Arabidopsis thaliana: one gene and its partner. The protein of the gene in region 2 interacts with the protein of the main gene of each other region in a pairwise test. Each region holds a gene or a part of one and is shown on either strand. Other genes may lie near its edges. The genes, in order: AT1G23100 and AT1G52695.

Evidence for each region.
Region 1: the proteins of AT1G52695 (region 2) and AT1G23100 interact in a two-hybrid assay, tested with the Arabidopsis thaliana proteins (one large-scale study listed by BioGRID).

The regions. Positions count from the first base shown.
Region 1 is NC_003070.9:8,192,046-8,198,203, reverse strand, and holds AT1G23100 (GroES-like family protein), read right to left. Parts: upstream 2,429-6,158; 5' UTR 2,338-2,428; coding exon 2,233-2,337; intron 2,148-2,232; coding exon 2,008-2,147; intron 1,917-2,007; coding exon 1,868-1,916; 3' UTR 1,729-1,867; downstream 1-1,728. Other genes in the region: AT1G23110 (fold protein), read left to right, coding at 539-705, 785-840, 927-1,005, 1,073-1,211, 1,291-1,596.
Region 2 is NC_003070.9:19,619,570-19,627,310, forward strand, and holds AT1G52695 (alpha/beta-Hydrolases superfamily protein), read right to left. Parts: upstream 3,893-7,741; 5' UTR 3,820-3,892; coding exon 3,810-3,819; intron 3,684-3,809; coding exon 3,572-3,683; intron 3,129-3,571; coding exon 3,092-3,128; intron 2,989-3,091; coding exon 2,919-2,988; intron 2,790-2,918; coding exon 2,685-2,789; intron 2,544-2,684; coding exon 2,411-2,543; intron 2,315-2,410; coding exon 2,229-2,314; intron 2,081-2,228; coding exon 1,990-2,080; intron 1,966-1,989; exon of another isoform or gene 1,945-1,965; intron 1,894-1,944; coding exon 1,842-1,893; 3' UTR 1,669-1,841; downstream 1-1,668. Other genes in the region: LEA7 (Late embryogenesis abundant protein (LEA) family protein), read left to right, coding at 273-329, 568-1,020.

The DNA of each region.
Region 1 (6,158 bases), about 11 Mb from region 2:
AAAGATTCGTGAGTCATTCGCATCTCTCTGACTCTGATTCTCTCTGCTTAGTTCTCCTCGTTCCTTCTCTCTCTCTCTTTATAGCATTTCTTCTCCAACAATTCTTTTCGAGTTTTTACGGCCATTGCTTCAGGTTCTATCTTTCTCTATAGGTTTGCATGTTTTCTATGCAATCATTTTCTGTAATATAGCTATGTGTGTTTGCTTCTTCTTAGCTTTTCCGTTGAATTTTATCGAAACGCTATATGCTTTGTGGCCCTTATTCACATAAAATTCATACGAAATGGAAAAGAGAAAAAGCAGATACAATTCTGGTCATTGATAATTCAGCATATCATGCAGCAATCAAATTTTAGGTGTTGACTTGTAACCAATATTTCTCTCTGGAAAACACATGTATGACCAATTATTATGGTTTAATTTATGAATACATTTTTATTTTTGTCATCAGAACAGAACAAGGGAGACAACAAAGTAGTTTGATTATTCTGGTGGCGTATAGATAAATGTTGGTTGTCTGTGGTTTAGCAAGATTACCATGAGTCTGCAAAATGTATCAAAGTCGAGCAATGCCCTTGAGGGTATCCACGGGGTTCATGTCACGTCTCATTCTCCTTTCTCATTTGAGAAGACAACTCAAGTTAGTGACTTTCAGACCAACACCAAATCCTCTGTCATGGAATCAAATCAAAGACTTTCCATCGAGTATGTTACATAACATTAGGTTGTGACATTCTCAGCTTTTGAAACGGTTTCAGTTACTGATTTAGTTTCTCTGTTACAGACGTTTTTGGCAGCAAAGACCTCCATGCTTAAGGCCAATCTGTTGCAGCATTCGCGGTACGCTTCTTGTTTTCGATCTTTTATCTTTCCAATCTCAAGATGGTTGATCGGTCTTTTTATTATGCAATCGAAACATATGACAGGTGACCAGAGTGTCTTAGAAACAGCTGCTAATGTGGCTACTTCACTTCCTTTCATCTTCCTCGGAATGCAGGCACCAAGGTAAAATGTTCTCTTTGCAAATATCATTTCAAGTAGAGTTTCTCTGACAAGATACTATCCCATGTAGGAAGAATCTGAACACAAAGGTGTACGCAAACTCCCTAATTGGAGTTGGAATTGCGTCGAGTCTGTATCATGCCTCTAGGGGAAAGTTGAGGAAGTACCTGAGATGGGTAGATTACACAATGATAGCCACAACAACAATAGTAAGTTCCACTCTTCTTAACCCATCTCCAAATTCTTCTTTAACCAAATATAACCGATTAAATCTGGTTATGTGGACAGTGTCTCTCAAGGGCTCTAAGGAATGAGAACCCAAAATTTCTGATGGCTGCATCAGCTTTAGTTCTACCTTTTCAACCTCTCATGGTCTCTGCCGTTCACACTGGAATGATGGAGGTCGCATTTGCTAAAAGAAGCTTAAAGGATCCAGATCTCAAAACAGCTCATAACGTACACAAGATGTCTTCCTTGCTAGGAGGTGCTCTGTTCATAGCTGATGATTTCTTCCCCGAGACACCTTTCCTTCACGCAGGCTGGCACCTCGCTGCAGCCATTGGAGTTGGAACATGCAATAAACTTCTTGAGTAGATCATTTCCAAAATTGCTATTCTTAGAACAGTGAAACAAATGGTTTCTCTGTTTCTCCTAATCAGTCGACATTACTAAGAAGCATTTCTAGACTTATAGTCAGTAATCTCTATGTAAGAAGTAGATCATCATCATTCCCAAACAAAAGAGATTATTGAATTATAAGAACTTGTTGCCAACAGTGAAGAACAATCATAACAATTGATCCAAATGTCAGACAATTGCAGACAACAAAACAAAGAGGAATCATAAATTCTATCTCTTTAACACATCACTCGTGAAGTGTAGCCATGATATCTTCATCCCTATACAATAGGAACCTGCAAAGAGAACGAAACACACAGTGAGAAATCGAAAATACTGATAAATTTCACTCTTAGAGGAATTACATCGAACAGGTTAAGAACATACTCTTTCTCTCCAAGCTTAACTTGAGTACCGCCAAATTCAGGCAAAAGAACATTGTCTCCTTCCTTAACCGAAACCGGAATTAGATTCCCTGCTCTGTCTCTAGCTCCAGGACCAACTGCTATAACTCTCCCGGAATTCAACTGTGTTTAATCAAATCCAACAAATTTCTAGTTCGTCCAATCGAAGAAATGGGTAAAGATGAGAATTTTAAAGAAATTCGTTTACCTGAGATGATTTCTCCGGTAGGAGAATGCCGGAGACGGTCTTTGACGGTGGGAGAATCTTCTCCACCAATACACGGTTGAGAGTCGGGATCAAACGCTTCGCCATTTTTATCTGATTCGACGACGACGACGGAGATCGGATTACGAAAATGTTGCTCTGCTTAATTTCGCTAAGATTTAGGGTCTAGGGTTTAAGCACAACAGGTGTTCCGGGTTTTTAGGTTATTAAGGTTACTTGGACTTTACGTGGCCCAGGCCCATTCAGTATTTCTAAAATTATTGAGTCAATCCCTTTTTATTTGACTCGTTTCATGTTAATAAAAAGTAGGGTATATGCATTAATTAATTCAACATTTTTCATTAATTAGGTCAATGGTATTGACATGCATTAAAGTTTTACTCGTGATGTAGACAAATAACATTTCTCGTTCAGTAATTTATGTACAATGTGTTTGTGAAACCGTTCGATAAAACGTTATTTTACTAAACATCACGTCATATCATAAAACCACTTCATTTTTTTATAATCTTCCATTTTTGTTCTTTTTATAAGAAAAACGGAGACACTACGAATAGATAACAAAAATCGAAATTTACGAAAATGATCATATTACAAAAGAAAGCCACAAAACAAAATATAATCAATGGTAGGAACATGCCTTGGCGGAAGAAGACATAGGTTTGAGCTCCCAAACGTGAAAATATTAAGTCGGAGATACAAAAAGCTTATTTTGTGGAACTTGCTTGACTAGCAAAATATAACTGTTTTTGTATCTCCATACTGAACTACAAAGAGTCAAGCTTATTCGATTGCCAATTGAAGCTCCCAAACGTGAAAGTGTAAATCATTGTTGCCATTAGTGACGCAATCCGAGATCAGCTCTCAACATCTAAAATTTATTTAAATATGGATAATAGTTTGCTCAGCCGGTAAAAATATTTCATGAGTTTTGCGTTTGGGTTTACAGTTAAAAAAAAAATACTTCGAATACTCAATGTTGTGGTTGCGGGTTCGTTTCAAAAAATAGACATTGAATACAAATATAAAACTAGATGTCGTCAACATTCAGCAGACCATTGATGTCTAAATCGATGGAAAAGTTTGTGGAAAAATAATGCACGTATGCAAAACATTTTAGACCACATAGGTTTGAGCTAACAATTTTGAATAGAACAATTACTTTATTACATAGTGATATCTCTAGGTCAGCTCTAAATTAAATGAATTGACAACCAATTGGAAAATAATGATTCAAAAATATTGAAACGAAAAAATCCAAACCGTGTTAAACTTATCCAAAAGTACATTCAACTTTATATCCATCTTGAAATTTCAAAACTAAAGAGCTTAAACGAAAAATTGTATTGAATGTCCCTACCTCTAACTATTCTTTCTCTTTTGGGGTCAAAACCTCTAACTATTCTTGTTTTTTTGTTTTGATAAGAAACCTCTAACTATTCAAAAGAAAAATTCTGACACTTGGAGGTCCCTAAAGTGGGCAAAGATGATAACAAAGCAACACGCGATCAAAAGCTCAATGTGTCTTTTAGGAGGTCCCTAAAGTATAATAAGTATGGGTTTTAGATCTCGTGACAATGATGAAGAAATGGATAGGCACTATAGCATAAATATTCACCTTAATTATCATCCAAGCAAGAGTCTAAAAGAAAAAAGGGGATCTTGACACTAACATCGTATCGAATCTCACCATAAATTCAAAGAGAACATTACAAGCCTTGCATCGTGCACCGACCTTTTTACTTTGGAAGATTAGGAGGAGATCATTCACGAAGCCTAATAGGACAAGAGCCAAGTTTTAATCATTGGTGGGTTTGAAGTTCTTTCTTGAGGTGCCACGCTAGTATATAAGTCTATGTCATGTTTCACTTAAGACCATTTGAGTTCGTGCTTATTTGTTATGATTGTGGGTAGATTGGTTTGACGATTTAGGTTGTATATGTACAGTTTATATGTAGTAGAAGATATGAAAAGAAAAATACAGCATCTAAATTCTTAAGTATAATGTTCTATAGTAGAAGTCAACAACAGAAAAAAAGAAAGAAAAAAAGTGTTAGGACTTGATCACATTTTGGATGAAACCCACGTACAGCTCTTTTCGGTCACAGTTACGTATATTTTCATGAAGATAAGAACGTGATGCTAACAAACAAAAACCAAAATTGCATCAACACATCACGATAATGCAAAAACCAAAAAAACATATCAAAGACAAATCCGTATAAGTGGTTTGATGTACTATCAAGTTGGTTCCGAATAGGGGTTGAAAGAAGGTTGAAATAATAAAATCGGAGGACCGTTCTTGTCAGTCGTCACTATCTCAAGTCGCATTATTATTTTTAGGGACCTATATATTTTACTATTGGACAATTGGGTCACACCGGTCAGATTGTATGGTTGCAACTTGCAAGGAAATGGATATTGACCTCTTCCTTTTTTCACACTTATTTGAATATTTGCTAATCAGCGTTAATTCAGACTTAAGATAACACATTGTCTCATTCGACATTTGCCGCCTTTGTCCCACCTTCTCATTTTCCTTCAAAATTTAATTCAACATTTTGATTATCTTCTTACATGTGCTAATATGCCAAGCAAATTATCAAATATCTATCACCTTTAGCTCAAAAGTTATCAAAAAAAGCATTGGCTATATGCCTATACAAATATATATAAACCCAGTTGAATCATTCAAAAATGGCCATTCCATCATAATTAGCCTTCTTTCTTCTTCTTATATAATTAAGAAGATTGAGTTTGACTGGTTGTGAAACTCTATCCATTTATTTAGTTTATTACTAAACATTAATTTACCATCTTGTCTATATATTATTCTAATTTATTTTCATTAATAATTGCTATTACTAATTTATTATGTTGAATGCATAATTTTGTAAAATGATGTATATATATATATATATATATATATATATTCTGCTAATTAGATTCTAAGCTACACTTTGTTAGTTTGACAATTAAAAACAAAGAGGTTAAAAATTTGTTTTTGTCATTATATGTTATATGGTCTACGACTCTACAAGCTAGCAATGCAGTACGGTTAATAGGGTGGTTTTTACGTCGTCTTTTAGTGTGGTCATTCAACAAATATTTATTGGGTCCAGTCAAGGTAAAACAACGTGAATAAGTTTCATTTTCTACTTCTCGTTTTCTCAACGCAAGAAATTTCAGGCTCTTTATGTGCCTAATTTTTGTGTGCATTCCTAAATCACCATGTGAAACCCTAAGTTTAGAGTTTTGAATAGATATACATCCTTTTCTAAATTAGTGTTATTTAAAAAAATTAAGGTAATTTGTGACCACTATAAAATATCTTTATTGATTGCACTATACAAGATGATCTCCTTATTTCTCTATATATTATTAAATTCGAATACTATAGATTCCTAAAAAAGTCGATGACTTGTCTAGTGGAAAGCCAAGAGATTCATGTGTCATGTCATGTCTGAAACATGGGTTGTTAAATGCAATTTTTTTTATTCATTACATACATGAACATTTTATGTATCTTTGAGCTAATATTTATATCATTAACACTAATTTAATTATGGTTTAATTCGCAGCTTATAAAAATATGAAAAACCTCTAATTTCTTATACCTAATTTTTAGAATCAAACCTATAATATATCAAGAAAATTTAAACTCAAAAATGTGGATAGATGGGTCAACAAAATAGAGCCACGCGAATACATTAACAAGTGCGCAATGTGCATACATTCCAAAAGAGTTGGGTATCAGATCCTTTTTCTATGAATAACTCCATTCATGTCCCGTTACTTTTCCCTTTTGTTTCTTTCTTATGATATTCTTTTTCAATATTTTAATTCGATTTGGCCTACCAGTATCCATACCATTTATAATATTCATTTACTTGTATTATTTGACTTCG
Region 2 (7,741 bases):
ATGAAAACGAGAAACCTAACTTTAACACTCGCACATAACTCCAAGTTTCGAAACTTCGTCACATCAACCTAATCGGGGCACGTACCTACACACCTGTCGCGAAACTGCAACACCTATCTTGTTCTCTCGCCGACCAAGACTTGCTATAAATAACTCTGACTAACGAGTCGGAGACAACTCACAGTTCCAAACACACAAAAAACACAAGATCTAAAAAAAAAAGCTTTTATCATTTAGAAAAATTTGGTTTCGAATTTCTTCGAAGAGTGAAAATGGCGTCTCATCAAGAACAGAGTTACAAAGCTGGTGAAACCAGAGGCAAGGCTCAGGTACTAAACGATTTATATGCATAACTATAATACATTTTGGATAGCAGCATTAAATGATTTAATTTTAGAAACTTAAACAAAACCTAAAAAGTAACTATTGTTTGTATGTGAAAAAACAAAAATGAGTTTGAAAGTTATTATTTTCAATTTTGTGATGTTTCGTGTTATTTGATTTTAGAAAAAAAAAAAAAAAGCTGATTAGTATTTTTTATAATGTAAATCCAATCTTGAACTGTAGGAGAAAACTGGGGAAGCTATGGGAACGATGGGGGACAAAACACAAGCAGCTAAGGACAAAACTCAAGAGACAGCCCAGTCAGCCCAACAAAAGGCTCATGAAACAGCTCAGTCAGCTAAAGACAAGACGTCTCAAGCTGCACAAACGACTCAAGAGAGAGCTCAAGAGTCCAAAGACAAGACAGGAAGCTACATGTCGGAAACTGGAGAAGCAATCAAGAACAAGGCACACGATGCAGCTGAATATACCAAAGAGACTGCAGAAGCAGGTAAGGAGAAGACCAGTGGGATCTTGGGCCAGACCGGTGAGCAGGTGAAACAGATGGCTATGGGAGCTACTGATGCGGTGAAGCACACTTTAGGGCTTCGCACTGATGAAGGAAACAAAGAACATGTTTCTTCAGCTCCAAGTACTACTACTACGACCACTACTCGTGAGACACAGAGGAAGTGAAGAGGATAAATATTTGTTTCGTGTTCGTGGTTTTCATGTTTGTTTGCTTTGATTAGTGTTTGTTGCGTTCGTGAGGTTATGCCGATCCTTGTTGTTGTTTATTGGGTTTGAATGTACTTCTACGTATTATCATGTAATGGTTTTCTTTTATAAATTGGACACTAGTTATTTCGGGTGATTAGTACGGAAATTACATAATTGGTATTTTATAAAGTTTTCGTTTTAAACTTTGCCTAATACGAAGACATTTACATCATAAATTTTCGCAACATGCACTTGTTTTCGTTACTTTTTTTTATTTTTATTTTATTTTACATCTTTCGACCTAATTTATTAGTCCATCTCTATTACGTTTTAACAGAGTCAAACTCTGGAAGACGGAGTCAAATTTAATCACTATTCACTTGACTAAAACATATTCCTGTTACTTCTCAATTATTTATTCAATCATTTCTTTAAAAAATAGTTTTCTCTGTAACGTTCGTATGGGGGTAACGGTTTTCAATACTGTTACTTCAGGAAATTTCACAAAGTTTTGTTTGAAAGTTAATTTGATTTATGCATACCAGTATTAGGATTTCCGAAGCAATTTTGATTCCTTGAGAATTTGCTGGTCAGATAAGGAAATTGTTTTACTAAGATATATAATGGAGAAATATAATTCACCTTTTTAACGGTTTCGAACGAAGAATAATACATTAACTATTGATTATGAATAACAAAGACAAAAAACGAAAGCTCAAAACTAAACACTTTATTATATTGTACGATAATAGTTTTGCTCCCCATTTGTTTTCTTTATGCAGAAATTAACCATATCCTCAAAGCCCAAGGTTTGTGAGCCAGACACGGATCTCATTAATTACATGATCCCTGCACACATGGTATATAACTCAAATTCAGTGATGTATGTTAAGAAAATAGTAATCAAAAAAAAAAAAAAAAGAGTGAAGTAATCGATGTTTAGACCCTCCACATTGTTTGAACAAGGTTGGAAATCCAGCCATGCGAAGGGAGTCAGCACATCTGTATCCGAATGAAGAGGGAACTACATCATCAGCTGTGACACAAAAAAATTCAATAATTAATTAGCAAGGATCTTTATTGCAAAAACAAAAACAAAATTTTAGCATATATGATCTCGTGATTCTTATATATCTAGATAACAAATTAGATATATAGATGATAATATATATTCTTGCACATACACGTTCCATGCAGAATTAAGATTTTTGATGCTGCAGCACGATTTGCGGTCCCAAAATTAGTATTATTCATATTGTATTCTAATCTCCTGCAAAATTGAGTTTGATTTTCCATTATTTAAAGGTACATGTAATATAAGTTTTAAAATTTTGTGACTAGTGATATAAGAGCTTCAAGATCCTACCTCCAGCCAGGAAGCCAACCATTGATCCCTATAACAATTTGTGGGTTTATGGGAACCCATCCAAAGGCATAACAACTCGTATAATAAAGAGCTTGTGCTGCACCCAAGCCGAGACCTGCCACTCCTTTTATGACTACCAAAACCAACATTAACAGATTACTTAATTAATCATATATGTGTATATTTATAATTGATGTAGATAGTATAAACTATGCATGTTAATTGTAGATATATTTGATCACCAAAAAAAAAGTGTAGATATTTTCAGGATTACCATTTTGTGGTTCATTAGAGAAAAGGCTAGTAATATATTCATTTACATAATTTAAAGTTCCAAAATCATCTTGCATGTTCTCAGAAACTTTTGCGATGTCGCACCCTGATTCATCATAGAGGTTTATGAAGTCAAGTATTAGTTTTCTAATTCTGGTACTATTTTAGAGATATCAAATACTTATTAATTTTCAATGATTTAATGTCTCCAAATTTTTAATCTAGCTAATCTTACATGCATTGGTTATCTCTCCACCCAAGGAAGTAACACGACGTCTAGGAGCAGTCGGACAAATCCATTTTATCTACACCAAATCATAAGTGTTGATTAGAAACTTCAGCTAAGTTTTCATTTTGGCTATAAAGAAATTAAGTTCATTAAAGATACGTATGTTAGTGGATGCGTACATTGGGAAGACGCAAATTTTGCAGAGGCTCAAGTGAGCTGCAGTCATAATAGACAGTTAAAAATACATATAATGGGAAGTCTATTGCGAATACAAAAAAAAAAAAAAAATGTATATATTGTAAAATTTTAGTGAAATGAACTCAATATCTTACAAGAAAATAAAAGTTCAGAGGAATGTAAAATAATAGAGAAAAATCATTATTCTTTGCAGCGCCATAACCTTTATATATACAAAGAAATGTTCATCCAAAAAAATGTTGAACTGACAAAATTAGTATTTGCATATCATGGCAAAAATCAACTTTTCACATATTAAAAGACTTTAAAAGTACGTATATATCTATTTTTATGTTTAATAACAAAAAACTTAAAAGTTGAAGTACTTCCAAATCATATTTCTAATTTTAATGAGAATCTTTGATTGTTCAAAACAAAAGAGCATATATAACGATAAACAATATAGCATGTGAGAATGTTACTTGAAGCCTGTGTTTCCTACGTCATGTAGCCAGACTATAGTAGCTTTATGAATTCCTGTGGGGTAAACAGTATTAATCTGTCCAAATTCCAAGCCACTTACGTTTATGCTACCTGCATATACAGTAATTATCCGTAAATTCACTAATGAGTTACGTTCCACACACATAGAGAGTATATATTTGAGAGAATATTATCAAACGATTTTGATAATAATCACAAGGAGGAAAAAAACCAAACCAGAAGCCATGCTCTAATGAGAATATTTTTTTTTTTTATATTATTATTTCGGAAGGTTTTAACTTGCACTAGAGATGAAAGATAGAAGAGAAGGAAACCCAAGACATTGCGTATTTATAAAAGAAATGAGTATTTCCTTCTTCTTTTTTTCTGTAAAACAAAGGAGCTTTATGACAGAAAAGATCTCTAAGTATTAAAATTTGACAAAATCACACCTTTAAAAAAGTTGGATAGATGGCAGAAATCCTATACTAAATTTGGTGGAACACAATTTAGTTAGAACTAATCTTCATAAAAAAGTTTCATTGGAAGCATAATTTAGTTAAAACATTTAATAATATATTTTGTTTATTTAGTATTTGCATGTTTAATTGGTTTACAAAATCAAAAGCGCAAAAAGCTAAAACATATATAGGTGGAACATAATTCAATCATCTATATATCCTATGAATAAAAGAAAAGAAAAAACTCTATAGGCAAATTGACACCTCATCAAAATTATTTTTAAGGTTTTATAAGTTTATAACTTTATAATGACTAATTAGTTTTGTTTAAATCTATTTCATATAAATTAATTTTTATTATCTAATTAGAAATTGTTACCTAAAATAAATGGCACCTTGAATAATTCAGATATAATGTTAATAAAGTATGTAAAATATAATATAAAAATCTTAATAAATCTAAATCCGTCTTTTTGTGTTAATTTTTATTTATTTTTGGGGAAACATTAATTAAAACACATATAAATATAATAAGGCCACCAAGTCACTTGCTTGTTTTCAAGAAATATTAACCTAAATTGATTTAATATCAATAATTATAAGTTTGACACATGAGAAAACTTAAATACATTTTATGAAAAAGAACCTGTCATCAATTAATCCTTTAAACTAAATTGAGGTCTCTCTCATCAGCTTTTAATGTGTGTAACTCTCCCATTTGAATTTATTAATATATATATATATATATATATATATATATTTTAAAAGCGTTTAGAAATACATAAGCTATTTAAAAAAAAAACGGAAAAATATACATGTTGAAAACGTATACCAAAAAGAGAGAGAATTGTGAATTGTGATGTTAATTGTGTGCAATCTCAAATAATATGTTATCATCATAAAGGAAATGTAATTATTTGCAATCTCAAATAATATGTTATAATGATACATATATATATATATATATATATTCAGCAGTTCGACGCATCATCATGTTTATTTATTTAACCAAATGACCATATAAATATAATTTTTTTCGAACGAACATTACATTAAATATTGATTATGAATAGCATAGACATAAAAATGAAAAGCTAAAATAAAATATTTTATAATATATTGTACGATAATTTTGCTCCCCAATTTCTTGATTTCTTTATGCATGTTTTAACCATATCCTCAAAGCCCAAGGTTTCCGAGCCAAACACGGATCTCATTCATTACATGATCCCTGCACACATGGTATAACTCAGATTCAGAAATATGTGTTATGAAAATTGTAATCAAATCAAAACAAAGTAAAGTAATCGTTGTTTAGACCCTCCGCATTGTTTGAACAAGGTTGGAAATCCAGCCATTCGAAGGGAGTCAGCACATTTGTATCCAAATGCAGAGGGAATAACATCATCAGCTATAACAAAAAAAGATATGAAAGAATTAATTATTTTGTATGATATCGCAATTATTATCTAATACTATTATATTTAACTTGTTTCACATACAAGTCCCATGCATAAGTAAAATATTTGATGTTGCAGCACGATTTGCAGTCCCAAAATTAGTGTTACACATATTGTATTCTAATCTCCTGCAAGATTGAGTTTTGTTTTCCATTATTATTAGTTTTAAAAATTTGTGAAAAGTGATACTAAGAGCTCGAAAAGGCTACCTCCAGCCAGGAAGCCAACCATTGATCCTTATAACAATTTGTGGGCTAATGGGAACCCATCCAAACGCATAACAACTCGTATAATATAGAGCTTGTGCTGCACCCAAGCCGATTCCTCCTACTCCTTTCATAACTACCAAAACCAAAATTAACATATTAATCAAATAATTGTGTATTTATAAAAGAAGTGATTATTTAGAAATTACCATGGTCTGGTTCAGAAGAGAAAAGGCTCGTAATAAATGAGTTTGTATAATTTAAATTTTCAAAATCATCTAGCATGTTCTCAGAAGGTTTTGTCATGTCGCACCCTGATTAATCATAAAGGTTTTATAAATAACATGTTAGTAGTTTTCAGTTCTCGTATTCCTATTATTACATCAAATCATTTTTGGCAATTGAAATTTTAAGCAACAACTAATCTTACATGCAGTGGTTACCTCCCCGCCTATGGAGGTAACGGGACGCATAGGAGCAGTCGGGACAATCCATTTTATCTATGCCAAATCATAAATGTTGATTAGAAACTTCAATTAAAAAATTAAATTTTGGCTATAAGGAAATCAAGTTCATGCATGGCGAAACATGTATGTTAACAGATCCATACATTGGGATGTCTCAAACTTTCGAGAGCCGGAACTGAGCTGCATATATAATAGACATATATATATATATATAGGGAGAATAATTACATTTTGTTTAGTAATAATAATAATAATGTAAATATAAAACTTTAGTGAAATGAACTCAATATCATTTCTTGGCAGCGCTACAAAATTTATATACAAACAAAAGATCAAAACCATAGAGCGGTTAATTAAGTATTTGCGGAACTACAAGATTCAAATTATTAGTAAAAAAAAAAGAACCCAAGAAAAGAGTTAAAGTTGTAGTACGTCCAAATCATGTGTGTAATAAACAGATACAATATATACTATGTGCGCGAGAGTGTTACCAGTGGCCTGTGAATCCGACATCATGTAGCCAGACTATTGTGGCTTTATGAACTCCTGTGGGCGGAATAGAGTAATAAATAGTTTCTCCAACTTTTCTGCCACTTTGGTTCCTACTACCTGTTTAAAGAGTTATTTATACGCAAATTCACTAATGAGTTCCACACATAAACCATATTACAGAATTGTCAAACACTTAGATAACTATGGAAGAAACATAAACAATTACACCAAGGAAAATAAATCATACTAGAAGCCATGCTTTGGTGAGAAGAACTAGTTTTTAACTTGCACTAGAGATGAAAGATATAAGAGAAAGCAAGGGAAGGTATTGTGTATTTATAATAGAAATGAGTGTTTCCTTTCTTTCTTTTTTGTTAAAGCACCAAAGGAGCCTTATGACATAAAATATCTTAGTATTAAAAGTTGACAAAATCTCATCCTTAAAAAGTTGGGTGGATGGCAAAAATCATATACTAATTGGGTGAAATACAATTTAATTAATGGAGGCATAATCTATTTTTTAAAATTACTAATATTTTGTTGATTTAGTAATTGTCTAATTGGCTTACAAAATGAAAAGCGCAACCACAACAACAGAAAACAGATTTGGGTGTAACATAATCTAATAATCTATAGATCATACTCGAAGGGGGAACCCCCCCCCCCCCCCCCCCCCCCCTCTATAGGATAATTGACACTTCATCAAAATTGTTATTAAAGGTTTTATAACTTGTATCTTTGGATGATTAATTAGTTTTGTTTAAATGTAGTTGGTACAATATAATATTTCTTATCTAATTTTAAACTTTTCCCTAAATTAAATAGCACCTTAACTAATTCAGATAATGTTAACAAAAGATGATATAAAAATCTATTAAAACAAAATCAGAATTTGTCATTTTATAGTATTTGTTTTTGTTTGTCGAAAACCTTAATTAATACACGTATAAACATAATAAACCCACCAAGTCACTGGATTTTGTTTTTAATAAATACTAACCTAAATTTATTTAAAATTAATAACTATATGTTTGACACATGACAGAACTTAAATCACATTAAGGTCTCATCAGCTTTTTAATT